Elephas maximus indicus: one gene and its partners. The protein of the gene in region 1 purifies or fractionates together with the protein of each later gene. This does not show direct contact. Links are inferred from orthologs where the notes say so. Each region holds a gene or a part of one and is shown in the gene's direction. Other genes may lie near its edges.

Region 1 (7,839 bases):
ATCTTTGTTAAGAGAGAAAAAGCAGGATATAGCACCATATGTAAAAATACCTTAATTTTAAAAACCTATATGCATAGAAAAACCAACATCAAATACATATAAAAATTGATGTGATAATAATAGATGATTTTCATTTCCTTCTGAGTGCTTTTTAAAATCTTCTAAATTTTCTACAACGAACAAATATCTTTTAACACAAAACAAAAAAATTAGGAGCTGCCAAAAGGCTGGTGGAGCCCTGGTGGTGCAGCCGTTAACAGCTCAGCTGCTAACCAAAAGGTCAGCAGTTTGAATCCCCCAGCCGCTCCTTGGAAACCCTATGGAGCAGTTCTACTCTGTCCTGCAGGGTCGCTATGAGTCAGAATTGACTCTACAACAACGGGTTTGTTTGTTTTTTGGTAAAAGGTTGGTGGACATTAAAGCCCAGAGAATCAAATCAAATAAATTTCATCTAGCGCTTCAGTCAGAAGCTAAGGAATTCTGTGTGTAGGGATTTTATTTGGTTATCATGAAACCGATATGGAGAAGACAAGTTGAAAAAAATCTGGTTAGGCACCAACAGAATACAATACTAATATAGTATTAAATTGGCAAAAACATGTCTAAAATTTTAAGAGCCAATACTGAAAAGGATATGGACAAACATTATAGGTACTCTTTTTTAAAAATATTTTTATTATGAAAATTTTCAGACATGTAAAAAGATAGAAACAGTACTATTAAAAACAACCATATATTTACTAACTCATACTTTATAATTACTGACTCTTTATCCATCTTCTCTCCCACTTTTCCACCCCCATGTTAAGTTAAAGTAAAATCCAATACATCAGTTTGGCAAGTAGCCTCTGGGGTCTCAAAAGCTTGTGAGCAGCCATCTACAATACACCTATTGGTCTCTATTCATTTGGAGCAAAAGAGAAAGAAGGAAACCCAAGAATCAGAGAAGGAACTGGTCTACAGGACTAATTTTCTCCATAAACCACAGTCTCCTCTACTTTGACACCGGAAGAGCTAGATGGCTCTTGGATACTGAAGTCCCGATTAGCAACACAGTAGATGAATCCTAATAGAAAGGGAGAAAAATGTGGAACAAAACTTCAAATTCCCCAGGAACGCATACTTATGAGACTGGAGGAATCCAAGGGACCATTGTCCTGAGATACTCTTTAAACTCTGAACAGAAAGTATATCCTGAAGTTACCTTTTAACTAAATAGCAGGTTAACTCAAAACAAAAAATGTCAATCGAGTACTGAGCTCTTTTAAAAAATTAACTATATGTGCCCAAATGGACAACCAAAGCAAGCAAAACTAAACCCATTGCCACAGAGTTGATTCTAACTCATAGTGACCCTACAGGACACAGTAGAACTGTCCTGTAGGCTTTCCAAGGTTATAAATCTTTACAGAAGCAGACTGCCACATCTTTCTCCTGCAGAGCAGCTTGTGGGTTTGAATTGCTGACCTTTAGGTTAGCAGTCAAGCGCTTAACCGCTGCACCACCATGGCTCCTGTCAATGGACAATGGTTAAAATATGGATGAGAAGGTTTAGGGGCTGTGAGAGAAGGTTCATGGGAATGGAACAACTAGAATGGAAATAATAATGTTGACACAATGCAAAAAATCTAACCAATGTCAATGAACAGTATGTGTGGAAATTGTTGAATGGGAACCTATTTTGCAGTGTGTATGTTCACCAAAAATACAATATTTTTTATATAAATCATAGCATTTCATAAAATGACAATGGCAACAGAATTTGAGAAGACTGAAAACAGATGGAAGAGTGGTAAAAGACTTAGGAGACCAAGAAAACTGACTCCTAAGGCAGTAATGAGGGCACCAAGAGCCAAACCAGTACTCACTGAGGCGCTCATAACCAGTTAGCTCCAGGTTCCTTTTGAAGTGGAGGTGAGGAAAAGGGGAACTAGCCGGAGGAGGATGGGTTGCAAGTCTGCTTAAAAAGCAGTCAGATCCCCAGATTCCCTTCCCAGCTCTATGAAGTTAGGCAAACGCTTCTCTCCTACCAAGGCAAAAACCTGCAAATGTATTCTCTGGAGAAAGCAAAGCAGGTCTCTAGGGGGCAGGCGAGTTATGTTATATGCACTCTTATATATTATACGGAAACGCTGGTGGTGTAGTGGTTAAGTGCTACACTGCTAACTAAAATGTCAGCAGTTAGAATCCACCAGGTGCTCCTTGGAAATCATATGGGGCAGCTCTACTCTGTTCTTTAGGGTCGCTAGGAGAAGAATCAACTCGATGGTTTTTTTAAAAAATATGTTATATAGATATTCTTGTATGCATATATTTAGTAGTGATGCATTATCAGCACAATCCTTTTTTAAAGCAATTTAGCAACATGGAACCATCAAATGTACCGCCACTGTGGAAAAGTTTGGCAGTTTGTTATAAAACTAAGCATACAAGTCATATGACTGAGGCATTAGTGGTTCTGTGGTTGAATTCTTGCTCAGCCAATGTGCCTCGTGTGCAGCCACCATGCTGTCAGTGGAAGCTTGTGTGTCACTACAATGCGGAACAGATTTCAGTGGGGCTAGAAAGGCATGGTCATCTACTTCTGAAAATCAGCCAATGAAAACCCTATGGATCTCAAGTTCTGACCCGCAACGGATCATGGGGATGGTGCAGGACTGGGTGGCATTTCATTTTGTTATGGATGGGGTCATCATGAGTTGGGGGCAACTCAACAGCAGCATTTATCCCAGAGAAATGAAAATCTATGCTTACTCAAAACCTATACGCAAATGTTCATAGTAACTTTACACATAACAGTGAACAACTGGAAACAACTCCGATATTCTTCAAAAGGTGACTGGTTAAGCTGTGGTACATACATACTATGGGTAGGGAACAATAAAAAAGAATGAATTATTGATACATGCAACAACTTGGAAAATCTCTAGGGAATTAGGGTGAGTGAAAAAAGCTATCCCAAGGAGTCACATACTGTACGAGTTCACTTATATAACATTCTTAAGATAACAAAATTATAGAAATGGAGAACAAATCAGTGTTTGTCAGGGGAGGGTGAGGATAGGGACAGAGGTAGGCATGGCTATTAAACGGGCATATCTTGACGGTATCAATGTTACTATTCTGGTTGTGAGATTGTACCATAATTTTGTAAGACATTACTATTGGGGGAATTCCAGTAAACCGTACTTGGGATCACTCTGCACTATTTTTTTTTTTAACAACGGTGAGTATATCTATAATTATCTCAAAATATAAAGTTCACTTTAAAAAACTGCACATGTTCTTTAGGTCAGTTACTCCAGCTCTGGACATCTGACCAAGGGAATAACCCAAAAGAAGAAAAAAACATTAAACGAACCAGATGTTCACCGCAGAGTTATTTACAACCGAGGGAAAAAAAAAAAAAAAAAAAAAAAATCTAAGTGTCCAAACAACAGGGAAATAAATCACGATGTACCTGTCTGTTTCCTAGTGCTGCTGTAACATATACCACAAGTAGGTGGATTTAAAGAACAGAAATTTGTTTTTGTCACAATGTAGGAGGCTAGGAGTCCAAATTCACTGCTCTTTGTCCAGTCTGGTGGGGGGGTGGTGGTGGTGGTAAATTCCTGTCTCAGTTTCAAGTCCTGCTTGCTCAGTGATCTAGAGGTATCCATTGCTTTGCTTCTGTGTCTCTTCTGCTTTTTTATAACTCAGAAGTGATTGGGTTTAGGACACACCCTACATTGATATGGTCTTATTAACATAACAAAGAAAACCTTAATTTCCAGACAGAATTACATCCACAGGTACAGCGATTAGGATTCCAACATATATTTCGGGGAGACACAATTCAATCCATAACAGCACACGACAGAGAATTACTCATTTGGATGCAGCAAAAGAAATGTTCTTTGAAAAAGCATACAAAATTGTGGTACAAGAGGTTCTGGTAAGGATACAGGACTGTATTACCAAAACTTTAACAGTAGCACTCTATGGTGGGGTCGCTGAGCCGGAATCGACTCCACAGCAGAGAATTTTTTTTTTTTTTTTTTGGTTATGGTGGAATTCTAACAAATACTTTCCCTTCCCCAAACTTTCCGTAATGTTGTTACATGGTTTTATATGCTGTACAGTGAGGAAAGTGTAACATTAAAGGACATTTTTTATGTCAAACTACAAGCGTCAAAGTCACAATAAAAAAGTTATTTCACTTCGCCTCTCCTGCAAAATTTTTCATTTTTCAGGTACCTTCCAGGCTTTAACCAAGAGCGCACACAAGAACCTGCACAGTCGTGAGCCCAGCAGGTTCGTCCGCTGCAGCTGCTCCAGCGCTGCCCCGACAGCCCCACACCAGGACCCCACCAGTTCAAAAAAGGGGCCTCCGAGCGACAGCAAACGCGAGCGAAGCCACTGCCTGGAGGTACAGTGACCACTCCAAGGTCACCATCTGGAGTCCACAGCGGCAACCGCCGCGGCCACGGCTCGGCCCTGCCCCAGGGCTTCCCGAATGTGAATCCGGGTCTCGCTCTCTGCCCCGCGCCCCATCCGAGCTGCGACCCCATTGGTTCCACAGGCTCCGCCGAGGCGAATCCTCACGTTGTGGCGTGGCGGCTGCCAAGGACCCCAGACCCTGAACTCGGCGTCCCCACGTCCGGTCCCGGGCCAGACCCCTGAGCACAACATCTTACTGTAACCCAGACCCGTCCTCTCATCCTTTTTCGCCCTCTCAACCCAGCTTTTCCCGACTCCGGGAAGAACCGGGAAGAGAAGGCGGAGGGGAGCGAGGTGCCGCTTGATAAATACTGTGCCCCGGCCCCGCCCACCGGACCTCACTTCCGCCCCGCGGCAAAATGGCGGCGCCCGGGCCCTGCCACGCAGACTTCCGCCTAGCGCGGAGACTGAGTGCCAGCCGCGGCTCGTGTCGGAGGTGAAGTCGTGACGCGCGTGGTGTAGAGCCGCAGCCCGGGTGCTCCGGGTGCTCTGGAGTGCGTCCCTGCCTCGTGCTTGGCTGGAGAGCTTGGGGAGAGGGCGAAGGGCAGCGGACCGGGGTCGCGAGTAAAACCTCAAACCGGGTGGTCCAGGGAGTCTTGCCACGTGAGAGGGGGAGGAGCTGAGACTCACGAGGAAGGACACACTGTCTGGGGGGCGGCAGGCCACGTGGTTGGGTTACGCCTAGAGTTCGCGTGTCCGCACCCTCGGGTGACTTTGTTGCCCTTTTTCTCATTCTCTCCCAGGCAGTATGTCGGAAGGAAATGCTGCGGGCGAGCCCAGTATCCCCGGAGGGCCCCGACCCCTTCTCTCTGGACCCCGGGGGCTTATCGGGAGGCGGCCAGCGCCCTCTGTCACCGCGGGCCGCCTTCCCTCTGTCCGCTCCAGGGACCTCACCCTCGGGGGAGTGAAGAAGGTAGCCTTGCTAAAGAGACCCAAGTACCTTGAATTCCAGGTTCCTGGGATTCAGCTGGAAACCCTGGTGTGGGGCAGTTCTAAACTGTCTTATAGAGTGTCCATGAGTCGGAATTCACCCGACGGCAGTGGGTTGGGATGCAGCTAATACTGATGTGGGGCCTACACTGTGCCAGGCGTGGTGTCTAGCCCCCCATGAATCTTGTGCTGAGACTTCTGCCTACGCCTCTCTAAATTCTGGGGATCTTGTTGAACTTTCACGTCTAGTGTTGGGTACGAGATGTTGGGATGGTTCCCAGAGGTGACTGAAGGACCAAAACAAAACCAATCGCATTGCTATGGAATCCATTCCGACTCATAGCCCACTCTGTAGGACAGAGTACTGCCCCATAGGGTCTCCAAGACTGTAAATCTTTATGGAAGCAGACTGCCACATCTTTCTCCCATGGAGCAGCTAGTAGGTTCAAACCACCCACCTTTCTACTTTTGGTTAGCAGCCGAGTACTTAACCACTGCACCACCAGGGCACCTCACAGAGAATCCTAATGAGTCCAAGACTCAAAAGCAATTTGAGCAGTGTTTCTTTACTTTGTGTTTGAAACACCTTTGAGAAACCCAAGAAAGCCAGGCAGGCATAAATGTGTGTCTGCAATTTTAGGGGGTTAGGAATTCTCCATGTATCTGGGTATGCAACTTCTGATCTGTCCTGTAATGAATCAAGGCATAGCATTAGAGGCTCTGAGTTCCCTCATGTTATATTTATGCCTATAGATGTAAAGGGTAGCCCTGAAGAGGAGGGGAAAAAAAAAGAAACATAAAGCAGCCAGTTTTTTAGAACTTTTTGTCTTGGGAAATTCGGGTGACAGTCTTAACTGTATCCTCTGAGTGTGAGCAGATCTCCTATTGAGCCTTGCTGTTAGAGCAGCTTTCCTCTGATGTTGACTGGTTTCTAGAGTAGTTCGAAGACAAGAGATGAGATGAGATACATTCTTTAGCTTTTAGAACTTTTCAGAGGGCAGAAGCTGAGGCTGCTAGTTAAAATGGTTTTTGCTGTCCCGATCTGCTTTGTATAACTCACTGCTACCGCGGTATGATGTTGCTCTTTGGGTCCATGTCTACCTCTAATCTCTGACAACAGTGTCAGATGTGTGGAAGAGAGCTAGGATGAGCTTGGTCCTTAGAAGATGCCCTTTGCGAGTTTTCATTTTCCTCTGTATTTTGGGGTTAGAACTTAACCAATCAGTGACTCCTGTATTTTACTTTCAGAAAACCTTTACCCCAAACATCATCAGTCGGAAGATCAAGGAAGAGTAAGTAGCTGGGCCTCTGAATACCTGCCCCTCATTTACATGCTCTGAATTTGGAGCTTTACTTTGTATGTTTGGGACACACAAAAGTAGGTGGCTCAGAAAATTAAACTTGTGTATTTAGTTATTTTCATTAGTGACTTTCAAGCTTAGCTTCCAGGTGATTCAGGTATGCAAGCTTTAAAAAAATATTGATGCCTGGTACCCAATCCCTAGAATTGTAATTTAGCTTTCTCAGTGAAATGGAATGTTTCTCTTACACGGCCAGAGTTGAGAGCTGCTAGTTTACACAGAGACGTAGTGTTTTCCCTTAACGTTCATATGTATTACAGCCACCTTGTTTTCAGTCAGCTCAAAAAAAAAAAAAAAAAAAAAAAAATACATATTTGGGGAGTTTCTGTAGTTCAGCATTTGAGTTATAGTTCTGACATATACTCTTAAAAAGGTAAAGTAAAGCAAATTGAAATTACCCTGCCCCATTAAGGAAGTGAAAAAGATGCTAGACCTAGGGATAACTTCTGCTTCTCCTCATGATGTAACTGCTGGCTTATAAACTCTGCTTAGTTGGAATAGAGTGGCGTGGGAGAGTAAGATAAGTTCTCTGAGGCAAGGTGAATGAGTGATTTCCCTTAGTCCATTCTCTTTTCCAGGCCTAAGGAAGAAGTAACTGTCAAGAAGGAGAAGCGTGAAAGGGATAGAGATCGACAGCGAGAAGGACATGGACGTGGCCGGGGTCGCCCAGAAGTTATCCAGTCCCACTCCATCTTTGAGCAGGGCCCAGCTGAAATGATGAAGAAAAAAGGTACAAGGCTGCTGGGGCTCTGAGAGGAATAGCAGTGGATTTTGGTTTAGACTACCTGAGAGAAATTTCCCTGCTCTCGGTTTACTTTTGGTGTCGGTCTCTTCCTTATCCGTAGTGACTTGGGTGATTTTCCATAGGGAACTGGGATAAGACAGTGGATATATCAGACATGGGGCCCTCTCATATCATCAACATCAAAAAAGAGAAGAGGGAGACGGATGAAGAAACAAAACAGATCCTGCGCATGCTGGAGAAGGATGATGTGGGTACCAAGGTCTGGGGAGGAGGGGCTATGGTGTGGCTGTGGGAAAGGGCTTTTGGGGAGCTAACATTAGGGGA
Region 2 (7,394 bases), on another chromosome or scaffold:
CCTGCAGTCCTGGCCAGGAGTTCCCAGCCTTGTGCCCTATCACAAGCCCTGGCAGGCAGCAAGGAGGTGCTTAAGCAGCTACAGCTCTGTGGCAGCTGGAGACCCCATCAAAGAGACACATGCCATCAGTATTGTCCTTTAATCTTCCTCTGCTCTGCAGCCAGGGGGAAGGGGCCCGGCCAGGGATTTCAGGTGAGGTCAGTGTGACTGCAGGGTCACCGCAACAGCCTTGGCTGTGGCGTTGAGCATGGCGGCAGGAAGTCTAGCAGCAGGGAGCACAACAGGGATGTCTCTGGGGACTCTCTGCATGGGCGGGATGTTGGGGCCCTCCAGTGTGTCCAGAATCCCTGAAAGAAGGGTGATGGAAGATAAGCAGGAGTTGGCTGGGACCAGCCCACAGGCTATCTCATCCAGCCCCCCAACCCTGGCAGCTGTTTGCACCCACAGCCACCCCTACCCTGGCCCTCCCGTCACTTACCCTCTACCACCTTGTGGTAGGCAAAATGCAGATAGAGCAGGAAGAGCATGTGCAGGGCAGCCAGGGTGCCACAAAGGAGTAGTCGCTGCGTGGGGCCCACAGTCCGTGACACCAACACTGCCACCTAGGCCCACAGGAAGACAGCTCAGAGGCCTGGATCCAGCGAGGGATGGGGAGAAGACACCCTACCCAAGGCAGAACCATCTTGGACTTTTCCAGCCCATTCAGAACCCTTCATGGGGTTCTACCTCAGCTCTAGGCTGTTCTTCCCAAATCCCTGAGAGAACAGCCCACTCCTGAAAACCCCATTCCCAGCTTACCATGCGCAGGGTGGACAGCCCACCCACCAGCAGCCAGAATAGGTAGAAGAGGGCATGAAGGTGGATGTTGTAGGTGATGAATAGGACAATACAGTGCCCAAAGAGGCCATAGCCCTAGGAAGGAGGATGGTGGAAAGGAAAATCACTCAGGCTGGGCTGGTCTCTGGCCTTCATGGGGACCCTGGGTAATAAAGGGTCCAGTGGCCAGTTCTTCCCATTCCAGGCCCTGGGTGGGGTCCTGTGGAACCAGGACACATGCAGACCAAGGCCTGACTACTCTCTTAAGATTACCCTTGCCCACCACCATGCCTGGCTCCTTACCAGCAGTGCCAGCATCTGGAGCATGGTGATCTGAGCATTGCACAGGTAGGCGAGGAAGTAAATGAAGGACGACACGCCCAGCCAGTAGCCGAAGCAGGTACCAATGGCTGTGCCCATCAGGGTGCCCTCCCGCTGTGGGGCGAAGGCTCTGCTTAGCCCTGAAAGGCCTCTGAGGGCCTTCCTCAAGGACTGCTCCTTCACTTCACTTTACCATCCTCTCCTTGGGCAGCTTCCAACCCAGTTAAGCCACCCCCCAATGTCCTCTGTTTTGCTTACGATAATGGTGTCAGATGTCTTCATCCCATGGAGGAGGATGGCAACCAGCGTGAAGACCAGCATGAGAGGTCCATACAGCTCACCTGCAATTTTCTGTCAATATACCAACTCATTCAGCATGAAGGGTACCATGGCTTTTCTGTTCATGCCTCCCCAGGCTTTGCCTGGTGGCCCCACCCTCTGCCCTGGTGCCTCCCCTCGCTCTCCAGACATGCCACCCACTATTCACCTGTGGGAAGTTGACCATCTTGATAGGGATCATGGACTCCAGGAGCCTGAGAGAGAGGAGAGATAAGAGCAGAGGTAGCACTAAGCTGTGAGGTTTTGGAGGTCAAGGCATGAGTCTTACTCATCTCTCTAATCCCAGGGTAAAGGAAACTCGCCCAGGGGACATGCTAGATGATTCAGGGAGAACAGGGCAGTAAAGAGACAGGGGATGGGGAAATGACTTCCTTCCCCCTAGAAATACTTCCAGGGAGAACATTCCTCTGACACTGTGCTGACTGAAGCAGCACCAATACAGAATTCAGAGACTCTAGCTGGGTCCTGGGGGAAGACCTGACGATGAACCTATTTGACCTGCTCCTCTTTAAAAAACAAGCAAACCTCAGCAGAGCATAATACCCAGCATTCAGGGTTGTGATGGTGAGGCCCTGGGCAAGATTCAGAAGGTGTCCCTAAGGGAAACAGTGCCCCCTGCCTCTTCCTGCTTACCATTCCTCTAGGCACCACTGGGTATTTTCTTGAAAAATCTATCTGAAGTGCTATGAAAATTCCAGACAGAAAAAATAAAAGTACAAGTCATGTCCCCGCTTTCTTCTTAAGTGACCAGCTCCTAATAATACCTTTGATTTTGGCTAAATTTTACCTCCTCTGGGATACCTGGCCTGTCCCATTCCCCAGCCCACCCTGGGTCAGGAGTTCTTCCTGTGTGTCTCCACCATAGCATAAGAGTGCTGTCTTGTAACTGCACACCAGGGCAAGGCTCCCATCTGTCTTCACCACTGAATCAGACACAACAAGAATAGTACTGTACTTAATAAAGAAGTATGATCAATAAATATTTAAGTGGTACTATTTTTTGACAAACATTAGTTAAACTAAGGAACAAAGAACCAAGCCAAGATTAAATCTGTTTCTTGAACAGTCATTCAGCAACTATGCACTGACACTCTGGTTCAGGCTGTTCTGGTGCCGGGAAAAAAAGATAAACAAGAGTCTGCTCTCAAAGAGCTGTTGGTCTGCGGAGACAGACCCAGGAATGAGAAAGTACAGCAGTGCTGAAGTGTTATCTACTAGAGAAAAACAGAGTTCTATAATTTTTTTTTTTTATAGGAACATTGGGAGAGGACAAATGGGGGATGGAAATGAGGAATGGTGAACAAAGAAGTGACATTTGAGTTAGGTTTTGAGGGAAAATGAATCTGCTCATGGAGAAGTGAAGGAAGCCAATGTGTTTAGCGCCATGTCGTGTTCAGTGGGTGGTGAGAGTTATGGTGTGTCTGGGGTACAAGGTGCGATGAGGGGTGGTGGGGTCATGAAGAGCGGGGGTCCTGAGGGCTTGATATCTGGTTGTTGGCTGGATGAAGGACTAGGTGTTAGGAGGGCAGTTTCTGTCAGGAGAAGGATCCTCACCTGCTTCGCACCTGGGCAGGCTCCACATCAAAGTAGGGTCTTAAGATGTCAATGTTGGCGTACAAGCTGAAGGCCCTGGAGGCTTGTCTCTTTCCCGCCTGCCACATCTGAAGCAAGGAAGATGGGGGTGGGAGGTTGGGTATTGTGAGCCTCTTGGCTCTGGGGACTGTTCCCTATTTTTCTGTTGGATTTCTACATGGTTCTAACTGGATAACTTGGAGTGAGCTTCACCAACACCAACTCCAGAACCTGGGACCTGCCTAGATATACTTTTCCCCATGCCAGGGATCCAGCCTTGCTTACCTGATCAGCCACCTGCCTGCTCAGCTGTCCCTTAAAGCCCTTCATGCCCAGGAACTCCCCATCCTCTTCTTCAGCAGCAGCTGCATCAGCGTCTACTTCTTCCTCACGCAGGCGCTGATGCAGCTCACCCATATCCTCAAAGCTGGAACCTGAGGTATCATCCATGTTCTCCATGTCAATCACAGCTGAGCCCCCACCCTGTGAAAACAATGGCTCCTGGAGTGCTGGAATTTTCTGATCCGTCGGTTAAGTACTCCTCTGCTCACCCTAGGGTTTGAGTTTTGTTCTTCCACTGCTGGGGTATGGGTGGGAATCACCAAAGATCCTGCCAATCTCTTCCCACTCATCTGCTCTCAGAACCTTTGGATCCTGGCTTTTGCCCTCTTTTCGAGCCTGGGAAACCTGTCTTCCACTCATGTATTTCTCCTATCTTCCCTATCAAACTATCAAAGGGCAGCAAAAGCACCCATTTCCTTTGTCTTTCACAAGGCGAAGGCATGTCTGTGCACAGTGTTTTCAGCCAGTGCCAGTTATTACCCCTTCCCCCGTCATGCCTGACCCCGGCCAACCTCCCAACTTGCCCCTAAAGCAAAAGCACGCTCTTTCTAACGCCTCGGGAAGGCCCAGAGACCTGTGGCCCTCCAGCCGGAGTATCTGGCCTTTCAGGTCAGCACTAACCCCACCGACTTGGTTTGCACTGAGACCCAAAACAGTGAAGAACTGTTGCAACTAGAGCAGACGGTACGGAGGTTAGGGACGGACTTCTAGGCCCCGAGAAAGTTCCCAAGACACTTCAGGACGGTCGCCAGCCTTGGGGGCAGCCGGAGCCTTGGGGCCATTACCTGGATGTTTTCTTCAAATCCTCCCCACTCCGGGCCAGCCCCGTTTCGGGCGCCGCCGGCCGGCGCCGCCGCAGCTGCCATGTCCCTCGAGGGCTCCCGTCGCTGAAGCCCGCGCTACCCCGCGCGCGGAGAAGTGGGCGAGACGTGGGCCTGAGGGAGGGAGATGTCCACGGGCAAGAAGGAGAGATGGAATCAGCCGGAACCCAAAAACGAAAAACCCGGATGTTTGGCTCAAACTGACTTCCGGAAGTTTGGGACGTGGGAGGAGGCGGGGCAAACCCTCGCGATACTTAAGCCTCCAGGCGAGCGTTCGTTGCCGAGGAGACGGTAGGACTAGCTCGCGCTCGCCAGTTTGACGCTCTAGCCACGTGGGTCGGTTGAAGATGGCGGCGGCCCAGGCAGTGGAAGAAATGCGGGACCGCGTGGTTCTTGGGGAGTTCGGGGTTCGCAATGTAAGTCTTGTGGTCTTGAACTCCGGAGAGAGAAGGAGAGCGAAACAGGAATGAGTTGGAGTCGGAGTGGCGACAGACTCGTCTCTCTTGCTCTTTAGGTTCATACCACCGACTTCCCCGGTAACTATTCCGGTTATGACGATGCCTGGGACCAGGAGCGCTTCGAGAAGGTGAAGGAGGAGTTGGAGGATTGGAAGTACTGGGAGGGGAAGCGATTAGGGTAGGGTAAGGTGGGTACGGACGGAGGTGTCTGGAGAGGGTGTGTGTGGCCGGACCTTGTGATCTGAACAGCCTGTGCCTCAGAAGCTGCCCTTAAGGCTACCTTTATTCATCAGACGTTTATTGAGCCCCGTTCCCATCCCAGCGATGTGCTAGGCGCTTGCGTGTAGTAGGCCGAATTAGACACAGTTTCTGCCCTGTTCTGTGATTCTTGTTGGGGAATCATTTCGCGTAAACAAATGATTCCTGTCTAACTTTGTAAGGCGGTTGATAGCAATATAGACACAGGGTGTGCATGGGGGCGGGGGGAGGGTTAGGAAAATTTCCTGAAGGAGATAACATCTAAATTGGGCCTTGAACAAGTTGTGAACAGCTAAGTGTGAAGGAACTAAGAATATGAACTAAATTATAAAGGCGTGAGGTGTACTCCTGGAATGTTCAAACAGTTCAGTATTGCTAGAATGTAAAATGGACCAGCAGGAGTGGTAGGCAAGATTGGAATTCGTTGTAGGCACTGTAGGTGACAGGTAACTTTTGAAGAGTTTTTAAGCAGACTTGGTAAGATTCATAACCCTGATGGCTGGGAGAGAATGAACTAAGATTATGATTGCAGAAATTGAACAAAGAGGGGAATAGAGGGTCAAAGTGGTGATTGATTTGATGTGGGCTGTGAGGGGCAAGGGAACCCTGGTAGTGTAGTGGTTAAGTGCTGGGGCTGCTAACAGTTCGAATCCACCAGGCGCTCCTTGGATACTCTATGGGGCAGTTCTACTCTGTCCTATAGGGTTGCTGTGAGTCGGAATTGACTCATGACAGCAGTGGGTTTGGTGTTTTTTTGTTTGTGAGGACCAAGTGTAAAATAACCTGGCTTAGGGAACTTTGATGGATGGTGATGTTATTGTTTGATAAGGAGGAATAGATCTGAGGAAGAGGAATGACGATGTATTCAATTTTCTGCAGGCAGAGCAGTCTAGCAGGCTAGTAGAACATGTTTGAAATGAGATCAGAAATGATACATAATTTTTGGAGTTGTGAGTGTACAGATGAGTTGCTAAAATTGTGTGGTTGAGGTCACCCAAGTGAGAGACAGGAACTTGGGAAGTAGTAATATTTAGGGGATGGGTGGAAAAATAGTGAATTTAGAAAAAATCGTAAGATAACTAGAAGATTGGTGCTCAGAAACCAAGGGACTAGTAGAATTTTAAAAAGGAAGGATTTTATTAAAAAATTCCACATGTAGTAGAGGATTCCAGCAAGGTAAGGACTGAGTAGTATTACTTGCCCTAAGTAATATGGAAGCTTCTGTTCTTTAATAGAACGGCCTCCGTGAGATGGTTTGGCTGGAGGCAGATTACAGAGGTTTTGAATGAACGGAAGACAAAAACAGAGAAACTTTTCAACTATGAAAGGATTGGGGGAGAAAGGGACATCTGGGCATGGAGGAGGTTTTTGGATTTTAGAGGATGTTAAAAAAAACATTAAGGGAAATATCTAGGGAGGGGGGAGCATAGAGACCAGGCCTCAGTGTTTTTTCCTGTCCCTCCAGAATTTCCGTGTGGATGTGGTACACATGGATGAAAACTCATTGGAGTTCGACATGGTGGGAATTGATGCAGCCATCGCCAATGCTTTTCGACGCATTCTATTAGCTGAGGTATCAATGGATGTAGCGGCAAGGTTGTATGGGGAAGCTTGCTGAGGATCTCAAAGTGACCCTCCCACCCTTGTTTTTCCTGCAAATTTGCTGAGCATTCCTTCTGGTCATTCTTCTTATCTCTTTATCAAGCATTTTTCTAGGAAGAGCTCTCCCTGTCACAGGGTGGGAGTGAAGAGCCTACTGGGTCTTTGCAGATGGGTGATTGGTGATTGTTTCCTTGAGCAGGTGCCAACCATGGCTGTGGAAAAGGTTCTGGTGTACAACAACACATCCATAGTCCAGGATGAGATCCTTGCTCACCGGCTGGGACTCATTCCCATTCATGCAGATCCTCGTCTTTTTGAGTATCGGAATCAAGGTAAGGGTTTGGGAAAATAAAATTTTGGGAAAAGGAGGGCAGCTTTCCTCTAAAGTAAGATTCTGGAGTCAGACTGCCTGAGTTCAAAACCTGCATTTGATCTTGGAAAAGTTAATCTTTTAGTACATCAGTGTTTTCCACCTGTGAAATGAAGATAATACCTGTTTCATGAGTTTGTCGAGAGGATTAAATGAAAAGTGTATGTAAAGCCCTCAGCATAGTGCCTGACACTCAAATGGTCACTAGTTTTCTAAGAGTTAATCTCTTTCTCTTGCATTTACGCAGAAGATGAAGAAGGCACAGAGATAGACACTCTGCAGTTTCGGCTACAAGTCAGGTGCACTCGGAACCCCCACGCTTCTAAAGATTCCTCTGATCCCAGTGAACTCTATGTGAACCACAAAGGTGAGCGGTGGTAATGTGCGGAAGAGAGCCTGCCTGTTGCGGGTACGAGGAGTATGGCTTTAGGGGCTGAAGTCTTCTGACATGCTTCATTCTCTAGTGTACACCAGGCACATGACATGGGTGCCCCT
Region 3 (7,328 bases), on another chromosome or scaffold:
TGCACCCAAGCCCTCTGGCTCACCCAGGGCTCCAGCAGTCCTCACCCCTCCCTGTGGATTTCTCCCTCCAGAGTGGAGTCCCTGGGTGGTGCAGTTAATGCACTCAGCCACTAACAGAAAGTTTGGGGGTTCGAGTCTACCCAGAGGTGCCTTGGAAGAAAGACATCTGAAAAATCAACCACTGAAAACCTGTGGAGCACAGTTGTTCTCTGACACACATGGGGTCACCATGACTCAGGGGCAACTCCACAGAAGCTTCTTTTTTTTTTTTTAACTGGGTCATCACCCCAGCACATAAAACTCTATTTCCCCCATCTTCACTCCTCCTGCTGCAGCATCACTCCCTGCTGTCCCCCTTTGTAGCCGTGTTTCCCCTTCCTGTCCTGGCAGAGTCCTATCCAGCCAGCCCCAGGGTCTGCTTTGGTCAGGGTCACAGGGCCACTCAGCCAAGCCCCACTTGCTCCATCTCAGGCCTCCAAGGGCTTGGCAGCTCAACAGCTGTCTTAGTCATCTATTGCTGCTATAACAGAAATACCACAAGTGAATGGCTTTAACAAAGAGAAATTTATTCTCTGACAGTCTAGGAGGCTAGAAGTCTGAATTCAGGGTGTCAACTCCAGGGGAAGTCTTTCTCTTTCTGTCGGCTCTGGAGAAAGGTCTTTGAGATCAGTCTTCCCTTGGCCTGGGAGCTTCTCAGCGCAGCAGCCCCCAGGGGCTCTCCTTGCTTGGTGGTGTGAGATCTCTCTGTGGCTCTGCTCTTCCCTCTTTTATATCTCAAAAGAGATTGACTCAGAATACGACCTTACCTTGTAGATTGGGTCCTGCCTCATTAACATAACAGCCTCTAATCCTGCCTCATTAACATCACAGACTTTAGGATTTACAACACATAGGATAATCACATCAGATCACAAAACCGTGGACAACCACACAACACTGAGAATCCTGGCCTATCCAAATTGACACACATTTTGGGGCCAGGGACATATGAAGGTCTCTCCCTCCTCCTGGAGACACCACCTTCCCCTGGCTCCAGGGCACCTGGCAACCTCCTCCCTTGTTTGCTTGTCTCCTTTATTTTATTTAATGAGCACTTAGGTAACTCAGGAGCCCTGGTGGCACAGTGGTTAAGAGCTCAGCTGCTAACCAAAAGGTTGGCAGTTCGAATCCACCAACTAGTCCTTGGAAACCTTATGGGACAGTTCTACTCTGTTCTATAGATTCGACTTGACGGTTGTGGATTCGGTTTTGGGTTGCTAACTCAGGTGATGCAGGTCTAAGCAGTCTGCAATTATCGGCCATTACCGCCCAATGAAAGCAGCCCTGTTGGTGCAAGCGTTAAGCGCTCGGCCGATAACTGAAAGATCAGCGGTTCGAACCCACCCAGGGACTCACTGGAGAAAGACCTGATGATCTACTTCCGTAAAGATTACAGCCTAACCTCTAGAGTACAGCCCCCCGGACACCCTTGTAACTCAGTACTGAAGCCACTCCCGAAATTCACCCTTCAGCCAAAGAGTAGACAGGTCTATAAAATAAACAATAATAACACACGCGAGGACCGTGCTTTGTAGTTTAATAATGTATACAAGACTAAAGGGTCCGCACAAGCCCAAAAGCGAAGGCAGGAAGGGACAGGAAAAGTAGACAAATGGAAACGGGGAACCTGGGGTGGAGAAGGGGGCAGTGTTGACACATTGAGGGGTTGGCAACCAATGTCACAAGACAATGTGTATTTATTGTTTAATGAGAAGCCTATTTGCTCTGTAAACTTTTACCTAAAGTACAAAAAAAAAAAAGCCTAGAAAACCTCACGTGGTGGCTATGAGTCAGAATCTACTGACAGCGCCTAACAACAACAGTTACCCGATGAAGTGGGTACTGTACCATGGGCCGAGGAGGGGTGCTGAGGCACAGGGAGGTGAAGCCACGGGCCTGAGAGCACACAGTCAAGTCGCAGTCCCAGAGGCTCCCGTGACTCTCATCCCTGACCCCTCCTTCTGTTCCATTCTCACACCCAGTGACCCTGCTCAGGCCACAGGGTCCTCCCCCTCAGCATTGCTGCCTTCCCTGGGGTGGGGGCCGTCCTGGGCACTGCAGCGTGTTGAGCAACATCCCTGGCCTCCACCCACTTGGTACCAGTAGCACCCCATTCAGTTGCGACAACAAATGTTCCCTGAGGTTGCCAAGTGTCCCCTGGGGGCAGAAACGCCCAGGATGAGAACCTCGACTCTGAACTCCCCTGCTCCCCGGTGCACACTCCGAGCCAGCCACACTCACCTCCTGGATGCCAACACACGAGGCCAGTCCTGCCTCAGGGGCTTTGCACGGGCTTTTAACCTCTGCCCGGTACACCCTCCCCCAGACACCTGCGTGGCTCCCTCCCTCTTCTCCTTCGAGTTTTTGCTTAAATCTCTCCTCCCTGCCTTCCCTGACCTCTGCCTTCAATGCTGCAAGCTTTCTCATCCGCCATCTCCTTTACCCTGGTCTGCTTTTTTCATAGCAGTATCAGCTTCAGACATATTTTATCATTCACATGTTATGTTCAGTGCTTGTGATCCTGTGTCCCCTGGAACATCAGGGACTCCTGGTCTGTTTTATTCACTATCTCTGTGTTTCTTGGGTCCCTGGGTGGTGCAGTCTGCACTTGGCTCCTAATCTAAAGGTTGGCAGTTTGCACCCACTCAGTGATACTGCAGAAGAAAGGCCTGGCCACCTGCTTCAGTAAAAGCTGAACCAAACCATTGCTGCTGAGTCGATTCCGACTCATAGCGACGCTATAGGACAGAGTAGAACTGCTCCATACGGAGACCTGGTGGTGCAGTGCTTAAAGAGTTTGGCTGCTAATCAGAAAGTTGCTAGTTTGAATCCATCTGCCACTCCTTGGAAACCCTGTGGTTGGACACGACAGCAGTATTTTTTTAATAGGATTTCCAAGGCCGTGATCTTTACGGAAGCAGACTGCCACATCTTTTTCCTGCACAGCTGCTGGTGAGTTCCGAATGACCTTTCTGTTAGCAGCTGGGTGCTTAACTACTGAGCCGCCGGGGCTCCTTTGGTAAAGGCCAAGAAAGCCCTGTTGAACAGTTCTCCTCTGTAACATGTGTGCTGCCAGGTGGAGACCCCAGGTTCTGCTTGGTGTGACTTGCTGCAGCCAATAAACAAGAGGCCAAGGTGGGAGATGAGAAAGATGCCTTTATTTCATTGCTCAAGGATAGGAGCCATGGGGGCTGCTGCCTCCAAGACTGCTCCCAGGCAGCTTGGGGAGGTGGGCTTTTATACAAAGCAGACAAGGAAATGCAAATTTATTATGAATATTCAGGATTGACCTTCACACAGGCGTTCAGAGTTTGGGGATGACTATGCATTTTCTCTAGACAGGGTTCCATTCTCCGGAATGGAGGAAGAGGTTGATTTTCTTCTACTAGGATGTTAAGTCTCCCCCCAGAGGCGGATTGAAGCCATCTATGGCCCGTTCTGTGGTTATCTTGTCAAGGACAGTTTCAGAATTTGCAGCTTATTCTGCTCGCTGTAGGACGATAAGCCAGAGCAGGTGTTTGTCTCTTAGATGGGTTGGGCTCTGAGGTTGTCTGCCTCACATGGGGCCACCTAGCCGGACCCAATTCTACACCAACAGGTTTCGGTGCTGTTTAGCGACTGAATGGAATGAATCGCTGAATAAGTTACTGATCACCTTCAGTGTGGCAGGCGCGGGGCTGGGCGAGCCTCCTTGATGAGCTCGGGGGCTTGATGTGGAGGTCTGTCAAGACCCACTAGGTCTGGGGGCCATGGGGCACCCAGGCGGAGGCCGGACCGAGAGCCAGGGGAGAGGGCCAGGTTGAAGCGGAGGTGGGAGGCTTTGCCAGGCTCTTCCCAAACACGACCATCTTTTTAGATCCTCACTTAACCCTCTAAAACAGGGGCATTTATTATTTCCATTATAAAGACGTGGAAACTGAGTCTCGGGCGGAGCCCTGGAGCCACCATGCGGAGAGGACCCCAGACACTTGGACGCACACATATTTGTGGAGCACTTTCTAGACTACCCGACTGTGCCCGAGAGCCTGGCAGGCCCCCGAGCCCGTCCGGGCCTCCGTTTCCCTATCTGTACCCGGCCTCTCCCTCGCGAGATTCTAAACAGCCGCCCGACAGCTGGGCGTTGAGCGGAAACTACAACTCCCGAGAGGCCTTGCGGCTCAAGCATCGCGAGAACTGCAGGCGGTGGTGGGCGGTGATATTTGCAAGTCTCTGTTAGGGAGCAGCCAAACACCGCTTTCGGAAGGTTCGGGCTGCCCTCGGACCTGCCGGTTCCAGAGGTCGGTGCTTTCAGGCGTTCGCTGAGGCCAGCCCTGCACGGAGTGGACTAGGGGTGGCTTAGCGCAGGCGCAGTGCGCGCGGGTCCTGACTGGCGCAGGCGCAGCGCGTCGACTCCGAGAAGCGAAGCAGCCATGGACGACGAGGAGGAGACGTACCGGCTGTGGAAGATCCGCAAGACCATCATGCAGGTGAGGAGCGCGGGGCGGGGGGATGCCCCTGTTTAGAGAATGGGGTCACGGCGGGCCTACCTGCGCCAGGTGAGCCGAGCGCGCAACGGTCTGGTGGTTCCTGGAGGTGGGAAGGAGCGTGGCGTCTCCCCCTCCCTCATCCCCTGTGGCTGGATCGGGGGGTCCCCAAGGCCACCCCAGACCCTCGTTGCTGGGTCTGCCCCAGGGGCGCTGCCTTATGTGCCCTGAGCTCAGCGGCGGGACACCTGCTTTGGGGCGGGCAGGGCGAGGGTCACAGTACGCCGAGGTTGGGGTCTTCCAGAGGACTGAGGGACCCCACAGACCAGCGGCCGAGGGGAGAAGCTGAGAGGTCCCGGGGGGGGGGTCGGGTGTGGGCGGGAGTTGGGGTTGGGGAGTGTGAAGGGCTAGAGAAGGAGGTGACAAGTGGCGACAAAGAACGGGGGCATTCTTGGAGGGCCCCTGCTCCGCCCCAGTCACGAGCTGCACTTTTTGTTGCTTTATCCTGAACCTGAGGGTCAGGGCGGGTTGTGATTGGGAAGCGGCGGCAGAGCTGGGGTTTGAGCTCGGGGGTGTTGAGTCCAGAGCCGGTGCCGTGAGGTCCGGAGCAGATGAAGACAGAGCTGGGAGGGGACGTCCTGGGCAGACCGTCCCTGAAGGCCAGTAATTGTGGATCTCACCCCAGAAATCAGGGCTATTTGAGCAGATGGTTCTAGAAAAGGACCTAGATGGAGAAAGGGAAGGTCAGGGCTGTGAGCTAGTCCTGATCTCCTCCCCGGTCCCTCTGTGAAGTTCCCCGGCAGCTTCATTCTCTCTCCTGAGTGCCTGCCCACACTAGGGTCTCAGCCTGAAGTCGCAGCTATTCTGGCCTCCGTCTTCAGGGTGGCTTTGCAAAGGGGTTGAGAGGCTGGGCTCATCTGCTCAGGTGTAGGCCTGGCAGGACTCCCAGGGGCCAGGTGGTCTTGGTCTAGATCCTTGCCTCCTGGGCCACAGTTGGAGGTTGCCAACAAGGCGCAAATCACAGACAGGCACTGGAACCACGCTTTACTCACACAGATGAGACAGCAGAGTCAGCTTCAGTTGTGGTCTCCAGTCTCCCATGGCCAGTGAGTCCCCTCATAGCCAGTACAGAGCACATGTCCGACACGCACTCCTCTTGTGCTGCAACTGAGAGACCCCGTTTCCTGTTCTCCAAGAACAGTTGGGTTGGCCAGGTGCTATAAGGAAATTCTGGTGGCGTGCGTAGTGGTTAAATGCTACCTTGGCAGTTCAAATCAACCAGGCACTCCTTGGAAACTCTATGAGGCAGTTCTACTCTGTCCTAGAGGGTCACTATGTGTCAGAATCAACTTGACAGCAATGGGTTTGGTTTTTTGTTTGTTTGTTTGCATGAACAGCAACAGAGAAAGTTAGAGTGTGCCCAGAACTGGGAGGGAGGCTCCCCTGATGAGGAAGAGAAACTGGGAGGGAGGGAGAGAGAGACCCAGTTACAGTCTCCGTATCAGGGAATGCTCTGGGCCCATGGCCTCTGCTTAAGCAGCCCAGGAAGCAGGCATGAAATCAGCCTGTCTCCCCACAGGGGCTCACACTGGTCCCAGCCCATGGGGTGGCCATGGGATTAGAGGGTGACCGTGTTCATCCACTTCGCTATGACTTCTCTGTCCTGTCTCCCTGACTGGCCTAAGGCTGGTGGCTGAGGTGTGCCCACCCTGTGTCCTCCACAGCCAGCATTTGAATCGCTGCGACCATGCCTGACACCAGGGTGTGTGCACTCAGGCATGCTGTGGCTCTCCTCACCCTGAGGTCCTGGGCCCTTCTCTCTGCAGTTGTGTCACGACCGTGGTTACCTGGTGACGCAGGACGAGCTGGACCAGACACTAGAGGAGTTCAAAGCCCAGTTTGGAGACAAACCGAGTGAAGGGCGGCCACGGCGCACGGACCTCACCGTGCTGGTGGCCCACAATGATGACCCCACTGACCAGATGTTCGTCTTCTTCCCAGGTGAGGGCCCTGGTGGGTGTACACAGCTTCCCATCCCTGAGGTTCCTGAGGGATCCCCAAAGGACCACGTTTCTGGTGGGGTTGTTGGAGCACCTACTTAGGTGCAGCTTCTAGCATCTGCCTGTGTGTGGCCCTCCAACCCGGACTGGGGAGAGAGCTCCCTGCCTCTCCACGCTGTGCTGTTGACCTCTGACCCCTCTGACAGTCTCTTCACGTACCCACCACCTGCTCCAGTTTCCCTCTGATCAGTCGCTTCTGTCTCCCTTGACTGTGTCCTTGTTGTGTCCTCCCAGCAGGACTCTCCCAGAGGCATCCCGCCTAGGCCCTTGCTCCCTCCTGTCTGTTCCCTCCTGACGGCTCTTTCCTGTCCTGCTGCCCACCTCCTGGGATGGCGTTCCAGCCTCCTGGCCTAGCAGCCAGGCTCCCTCCACATGAGCTCAGCTCCCTGCTTCCGCTCTTCCTGCACCTCTGAGTGCCCCCCCCTTTCCCAGCAGAACTCAGCTCCCCTCCTCCTGTGTGCCCACCACACCAGCTGTCTGCATCCTAGTTCTGGGGTGACAGTATACGGGGACCCTCAGCAGCACTGTGGGTCTCAGGCTTCTGCCCTCAGTCTAGCCGAGCAGTGGAGGCCAGTGTCAGAGACATTGAGTCTGACCTTTGGGAGGCACCCTGGCTCTGCCCTGGACAGCCACCTGGTGCCAGAGAGAGAAGGAGCTCTGCCTTCCAGAGCATCGAAGGCGCCTTTGGTCCCAGAAGCCTCTGCGATGAGCCAGGAAGGACAAGAATTCACCCCACACCTTCCCCAGGCCCTGTTTCTAGTCACCG

The links. The genes of interacting proteins can lie anywhere in the genome.
Region 2: the proteins of POLR3D (region 1) and POLR1C purify together in Homo sapiens (affinity purification with mass spectrometry; 6 studies listed by BioGRID and IntAct, counting the BioPlex papers as one, with this or other methods). This does not show direct contact. The link is inferred for Elephas maximus indicus from reciprocal best matches to the Homo sapiens genes POLR3D and POLR1C.
Region 3: the proteins of POLR3D (region 1) and POLR2E purify together in Homo sapiens (affinity purification with mass spectrometry; 6 studies listed by BioGRID and IntAct, counting the BioPlex papers as one, with this or other methods). This does not show direct contact. The link is inferred for Elephas maximus indicus from reciprocal best matches to the Homo sapiens genes POLR3D and POLR2E.

What each region holds. Positions count from the first base shown.
Region 1 is NC_064840.1:52,465,628-52,473,466, reverse strand, and holds the start of POLR3D (DNA-directed RNA polymerase III subunit RPC4), read left to right. Parts: upstream 1-4,834; 5' UTR 4,835-5,043; exon of another isoform or gene 5,044-5,082; intron 5,083-5,222; 5' UTR 5,223-5,227; coding exon 5,228-5,392; intron 5,393-6,657; coding exon 6,658-6,701; intron 6,702-7,348; coding exon 7,349-7,500; intron 7,501-7,637; coding exon 7,638-7,762; intron 7,763-7,839. UniProt on the Homo sapiens protein: DNA-dependent RNA polymerase catalyzes the transcription of DNA into RNA using the four ribonucleoside triphosphates as substrates.
Region 2 is NC_064819.1:107,947,610-107,955,003, forward strand, and holds the start of POLR1C (DNA-directed RNA polymerases I and III subunit RPAC1), read left to right. Parts: upstream 1-4,393; 5' UTR 4,394-4,558; coding exon 4,559-4,627; intron 4,628-4,725; coding exon 4,726-4,797; intron 4,798-6,042; exon of another isoform or gene 6,043-6,392; coding exon 6,393-6,500; exon of another isoform or gene 6,501-6,725; coding exon 6,726-6,861; exon of another isoform or gene 6,862-7,146; coding exon 7,147-7,266; exon of another isoform or gene 7,267-7,363; coding exon 7,364-7,394. Other genes in the region: protein YIPF3, read right to left, coding at 199-347, 479-602, 799-912, 1,120-1,251, 1,396-1,488, 1,625-1,670, 3,031-3,137, 3,334-3,531 and 1 more. UniProt on the Homo sapiens protein: DNA-dependent RNA polymerase catalyzes the transcription of DNA into RNA using the four ribonucleoside triphosphates as substrates.
Region 3 is NC_064821.1:806,769-814,096, reverse strand, and holds the start of POLR2E (DNA-directed RNA polymerases I, II, and III subunit RPABC1), read left to right. Parts: upstream 1-4,327; 5' UTR 4,328-4,448; coding exon 4,449-4,505; intron 4,506-6,328; coding exon 6,329-6,503; intron 6,504-7,328. UniProt on the Homo sapiens protein: DNA-dependent RNA polymerase catalyzes the transcription of DNA into RNA using the four ribonucleoside triphosphates as substrates.